Danio rerio: one gene and its partner. The protein of the gene in region 1 purifies or fractionates together with the protein of each later gene. This does not show direct contact. Links are inferred from orthologs where the notes say so. Each region holds a gene or a part of one and is shown on either strand. Other genes may lie near its edges.

The links. Proteins that work in one complex are often made in the same cells at the same time.
Region 2: the proteins of zgc:92664 (region 1) and bptf purify together in Homo sapiens (affinity purification with mass spectrometry; 5 studies listed by BioGRID and IntAct, with this or other methods). This does not show direct contact. The link is inferred for Danio rerio from reciprocal best matches to the Homo sapiens genes BACC1 and BPTF.

What each region holds. Positions count from the first base shown.
Region 1 is NC_133182.1:26,105,422-26,109,679, reverse strand, and holds the start of zgc:92664 (uncharacterized protein LOC436695), read left to right. Parts: upstream 1-1,405; 5' UTR 1,406-1,580; coding exon 1,581-1,601; intron 1,602-1,809; coding exon 1,810-1,904; intron 1,905-3,697; coding exon 3,698-3,918; intron 3,919-4,029; coding exon 4,030-4,134; intron 4,135-4,258. UniProt on the Homo sapiens protein: Component of chromatin complexes such as the MLL1/MLL and NURF complexes.
Region 2 is NC_133178.1:24,124,768-24,127,089, reverse strand, and holds part of bptf (nucleosome-remodeling factor subunit BPTF), read left to right. Parts: intron 1-1,561; coding exon 1,562-1,748; intron 1,749-2,322. UniProt on the Homo sapiens protein: Regulatory subunit of the ATP-dependent NURF-1 and NURF-5 ISWI chromatin remodeling complexes, which form ordered nucleosome arrays on chromatin and facilitate access to DNA during DNA-templated processes such as DNA replication, transcription, and repair.

The DNA of each region.
Region 1 (4,258 bases):
GACTCTCCTTGCTCTGTACTATGTGCTTTAAAAATGGACTGTTATCCTCCGACAATATTAGTGCTGATGTCTGTTAATGTACAACATTTATAGCTATAAAGAAAGCATTTTATAATAGCCCAGAGATAGAGATTGATGTTAGCAATAACACTATACACTTAATATAGAATATATTTATTTGAACGCATTTACACTCGTGCAATTTCACTGACTATAAACAGTGGTCACGAATTGAAGGAATGATCATGGGGATTGTAAATGTCTACAAATCAACTGGTTCTTCAAAGCAATATAGAGTGCCATGTGCTATCTTTTTTCTAGTATGTTGTTGTTTGTCTAATTTGCATTCATTTTAGAATGGGTTTAAAGGTTTCCCCGATGACATAATTGTTAAGAAAATGTATTGCAGCTGATACCTGCCTCTTAAATTTCATCATACAGACAAAATATGAAATTGTAAAACCTTATTATTCTACCCCAAGTATATGTAGAACATTGCTGAGCAAGCATTTTATGTTCTGCATTTGTTGCACTTTGACAACATGCATATAATAATAGCAACCACTGTTATAGTTGCTCTTGTTGTTCATGTTTTTATTGTTCATTTGGTCCAGATATTGCCAGCTGTGTCAAAATAGTGCCAAACATGTATAGTGACAGCATCGTGCAAATCCTCTGCATGGTGTTACTTGTCATATCCGCCCTCTCTGGACATCATATCAGAAGCTTTCCAACGCATCCCTCAATAAACAGTAATTGAATTAAAGGAAAGCTACTTGTTGGTGTTTTCTTTTAAAAGTAAATGAATTCTAGTTGCCTGCTTTGTGCACTAGAGGGCAGCTGACGCCAGTATAAACATCACGCATGCGCGATAGATGCTCTCTCAGCTCCATTTCGATGTTTTTCTTAGTTGTAGTGTACATAGTGGTAGTGAATAGATAAGACGCAGAACACTATCTTCCCCGTCTTTCAATATCAAATTTTGAGGTTCTGGACTAATGTCGCATTTGTTAAAGGCATATTTAACATCATATAAAATCACTTTATATTTTGCTTAAAGATTTTATTCATTTTAAAAACTCTTGCCTGTGATTGCAAAGACGAATGAATGTGTTAAATAGCACGGTTTTCATCTAAACCAATAAAACCTTATTACCTCCGTCTGCTCTGACAAGAAAATATTAAAACCAACGGTCTACGTAGGGTTTACAGAAACAAGTACGGCTGTATTGCGCATTAATAAATTACGAATTTGGACCGAGGAAACCCTGAGGAGAAAGCGCGAACGAGCTGCGCAGTTTCGACGCAGCTTTGAATGTGCCGAGTTCATTTCTGGTGGGCACCAATAACAACCGATTGCTGGAATTCAAACCAATGGGCATCGCCGAAACACAGTATCATCTTTACAATTATGCTACCAGCTTAGTCAAAGAACACGTTTTATTGTTGTTCCAAAATGTAAATAATTGAGGAATAAGTATCGCTGCCGATTTATATCAGCCGTTGCTGTCCACGTTAGCTTGAAGTGTCCTAGCTTTTTCTAAAACGCAGTCCTCATTACTTGGTTGCAAATCAAAACAATGACTTCGGCCTCTACAAAGGTAAATGTTTACAAATATGATACCTAAAGAACGATTAAATGTTTGTGTTGGTAGTGTGCATCCATGCTTACTGTATTCAATGCTTTGTGTTGTCAATAAAGCTACTGGCTAACATGCTAACTATCATCGTAATGTCAATTCCTAAATACACGTTTCTACGATCTCGGCGGATTCTGTACATTACTTATTTCTTGATGTCTGTGTTTAGGTCGGCGAGATCTTTTCTGCAGCTGGAGCTGCTTTCACAAAGTTGGGAGAGCTGACCATGCAGCTGCATCCAGTAGCAGATACTACTCCAGCAGGGTGAGACACTCGCTGCCTATTTAACTTCACGTTCTGCATCACAGTTCGGACTGGATGGTTTATACTTAAACTGGCACGTGTAAAAAGTTGTATAACGTGTACATTTCTCTTCAAAGTAATACATATGGTGTACATGGAAAATACTTTATTGATCATTTAAAAATATGTTTTTTTTTATTTCCCTTGGGTCCCTCAAACGCTTTCTAACCCTTGTCTGCTTTGACAATTTACGAATAATTGTTACGTTTTAATGTTAGCAATAAATTAAAGCACTAAACCATTTTCTTATGTAAACAGTTTTTAATATTATCCATTTATTTTTATTTGTAATTGCTAAATTTTTAAAGCCATTGTTTTTACTGACATTATGGGCAAAAACACTTCTTTTGCTTTCTGTCAGGGCCAAGTATTTTTGCAAACTTTAAACTAACTGGTTTATAATTAAAACAAGAACAAATATCTGCCAGTAGCCCAATACAAACAGAAAAGAAAATGTTTCACAACATTGACAGATTAATAATAAACCCTAAGTACTGTTTAAAAACAAAACATTTTACAAGGGCTTTTATAGGTTTCGTCAAGTCATATTTAAGACTTTTAAAGACCTTTTAAGACCATTCTGAATGAAATTTCAGACTTACACAAGGCTAACACTAAGGGTTTTTTAATGGCCCAAACATAAAAAAAACACATTAAAACAAATGTTATTTTAAGATAATTAAACCATATGTCTATGAATATAAATAGAGTTGGTAAATAGATTTACAAAATATTAGTTAATAAATAAACTTTTGTTTAAACTTTCAGTGAGTTGGAATGATAGTGATTGGATGGGTGTTGGCCCAATTGGGTAGCTTTACATGGAAAAAATTAACACTGGTTTAAAATGATTTAAGACCTACAACACAAGATTTCAGTGAATTTAAGAATTTTTTTTAAGGCCTGAAATTTTTATTTGAAAAATTGTAGACATTTTAAGTCTTTTTAAGACCACACTGTGGTAAAATACTGTGTAAAAGAATTATTGAGTTTGACCAACAAATGTATTGTTTGACCAGAAATATTATTTTTGTTGTGGTGCTACACATTTATATATATATATATATATATATATATATATATATATATATATATATATATATATATATATATATATATATAAATATTGCATACAAAAGATATTTAGAAGAATGTTGGAACCTGTTAGCCATTGAAATCCACAGTATAACTATTTATATATATATTTATTTAATCATAATAAATTATGGAAGTCAAACATTCTTCATGTTTTCTTTTTGTGTTCAATAGAAGAAAAAAACTCAAGTAAGTCTGGACCAAATACAAAACTAAATTATGCAAATTTGATTGAACTGTCCCTTAAAGGTCTTGAATTGTCAAATGTTAAATTAAGACTTGACTAGAGCCTGAGATTATTCTGTTCATTTTGATAGAAACATTACGCAAAAAATACCTGTCTGTAGAATTGACAACTGTTTTGGTTTAATCTTTTTAAAGTTACTATGCGTATGGCTTAGAAAAAGTAAACAAATGAAAGCATCTTAAATTCAGGTGAAATTTGCATTACAGTTCCTAAGTACCATTCTTTTCGGAAACTCAAGAAGACCCCCGATGTTTTATTTATATTTTACATTTGCCATCAATAAAGACTCATTAGTTGTGTAGCTCTTCTGTAATAATTAGTCTTTTATTATATCGTACATTTGTAATTAATAAGGACATTTAAGTTGCGTAGCTTGTGAGTAATAAATTTTTTTTTTCCTCCTCAAAATAAGGGCCCAAATGACAACAGCAGTCAAGAGGAAGTTGTATGATGACAGTGGAGCCCCTCTATCCACCAATTCACCAAAGAAGAGCACCAAAAAGGTGCCGGTTTCAATGGCTCCACCAGCCCCACCAAAAGTCATTGCTGTGCCAACATCTCAAGTTGTTGTGACTGCAGGCTTACAGCGGGCAAGCACAGGTCCATCTAGCATTAAGTCATCAAAAACGGCAGGTCGGCATTACTTAATTCACTTGTTTTGTTTTTCATTTTAAACTTGCAAAATTGTTTAGCAGATTGAAAATTGTCAAATACAACTAATGTATTGATATGCTTTTTCCACAGACGTCACTCTCAGTGCACTGAATGACTCTGATGCCAACAGTGATTTGGTAGATATTGAAGGCTTGGGTGATAGTTCATCATCTAAAAAGCTTAATTTTGACCAAGGTAAGAGACAGCTTTTTGGTGTATTTTTCTCTCCAAATTTTAACCCCTTCACAATCTCTGTCCTGTATTTTTTCAAAGATTTTGGCAGTTAATTGTTTAAATACAAATTTAAATGACAAATTTT
Region 2 (2,322 bases), on another chromosome or scaffold:
TTCGCATAGCAATATCCGTGATATTGCTAGACAGCCCGCTCCCGTCCCAAATTAAACCCGTTACCGACCGCTCCCGCGATTTATTCGGAAATTTATTCCCGCGGCTGTCCCCGCGCCAGATTTCTGCGGCGCGGGAATAAATTTCCGAATAAATCGCGGGAGCAGAACTCTAGCACGGAGCTCCATAAACAAACAGCACGCGTCGCGTTTTTAACGTGACTTTGCACGCGATAAGATCAAATATCCAGTTAACCTGATACAGTACACGCGGTTACAAGTAACAAATCACAACTAAATACATTTGCAAGCAAGAGTAAACGAGGCAACAACTTTAACCGCACGTACTTACACTTGAGAAATGGAAGAAACCCATCCTGACGTCCATCAGTTACTCTTTACTGATCCTTCCTTTAACAAACTCAGATGAAGTATTCTTTGTAGCATGTAGCTTCCAGAAGTTTCCAACTGCTTGGTTATAATGCTGAGGTTTCATCTTTGGGTAGAGACTCAATATATCCATCTGCAGTGTGACTTCAATCGACCGGCATGTTTGTGTGCGTGTGTTTGTGGGTGTGCGTGTGTTTGTGGGTGTGTGTCTGGGTTTCTGCGTCAGAGGGCGGGGCCTCAGGTTTGAAATCTCCCGGGTTTGCGCGTGCACGTGAATAACTTGGTTTCGTTCGTACGTCATGGCGAAACACCTAATGAGTCGGTATCAAGGCGACTCGTTTGAAGCACTATGAGTCGACTCTTTTATAGATGAATCAACCGTTTTAAACACTGTATTCTTACAGATTTAAGCCTTAGCTGGATACTTCGCTTCACTTAGAGCTGTGTTACACACTACATGGAGGGGAATTTTCAAAAACCCATAATATGGGCTCTTTAAACATCAAATTGTAGAACTTTTTTTAAAACTGATAGTTCACCCAAAAATGTTCATTTATCATTTACTCACGCTCTAGTTTTTGTAAACGTTTATGAATTTCTTGTGTTGAACACAAAGCAAGGTGTTCTAAAATTTGTTGGAAAAAAGCAGCCATTGACATCCATAGTAGGAACAGAAAATACTATGGAAATCTATGGCTGCTTTTCCTCATGGAAAAAGTGAGTTCATAAAAAAATTAATTCAAACCGGTTTAGAACAAGTGGAGCAATAATTGAAGACAGAATTAAATTTTTGTGTGATCTATCAACCTATGTGTGCTTTCAAAACTGTTGAGAAGCAGTATTTATTGGAGAGCCAAACACTTATCATGCGATGTGTACCTTGGTAAAAAAAAATGCTGTTAAAATCACTGAAGCTGAAAAATGATCATCTTTGTGCTGTTACCTACCTAATGATGAGAGAATTATTAGGAAATATCAACCATTTTCAGCAGTGACTAGACTTCTTGTCAGCTAGCAGTCAAATATGACAAATGTGTGACTTATAAGGTCTTTGAAAAGAATTTCACCATTTTGATAATTTATTGTGTTCATGTACTAATTTTTAATAATGTATCTTTGTTTTAATAATTGGTTGTATTATTTTCTTCTCTCCTTGCATTTCCGTTGCATGCAGACCTTTCTACAATGGAAGAGAGGATACAGAAACGCTTTTACAGCAAACTCACAGAGTTCGTAGCGGACATGACCAAAATCTTCGACAACTGCCGCTACTACAACCCCAGCGACTCGCCTTTTTACCAGTGTGCGGAGTTCCTGGAGTCCTTCTTTGTACAGAAACTCAAAGCTTTCAAAGCAAGCAGGTAATTTCCACTTGTACGCACATATAAAAGAGCTGGATAGAATGGTTTTAAACGTACTTGTACATATGTTCATGTAAGCCTATGGATTTAAGTTGAAAAGGAATTTAGCATCAAGCATCAAAACAGTATAAGAATAATACAGCATTTTGTGTACTTTATAATCTGATTGCATTTATTTTTATCTATTTGTATATGTATATGCTTTGTGTAAATAAAACCAGTTTTGTACTTTTAACATGACTCAAAAACAGATTCAAAAAGATTTCAAAAACAGTGACTCTAATTCATATTTATGTATTTTTGGCAACATATTGTAAATATTCAAAATAACTAAGTTACTGCCCCATTGAATTATTTCAGTAATTTTTTTCAAAATAGTGAACCATCACATATTTGCTAAGCAATTATCGGTTTAATTTGCACTTTAACACAAAAGGCTGCATGTTTCAGTTGGCCCCAGGTAAGAGGGTGCTTTTAGCCATTTGTTTTAGTTTTAGAAATTGTCTACTGTTTAGTTTGCACTAGTGTTTGTCATTTGTCTGTTCCATTGCATTGACTTCCATACATCCAGTTT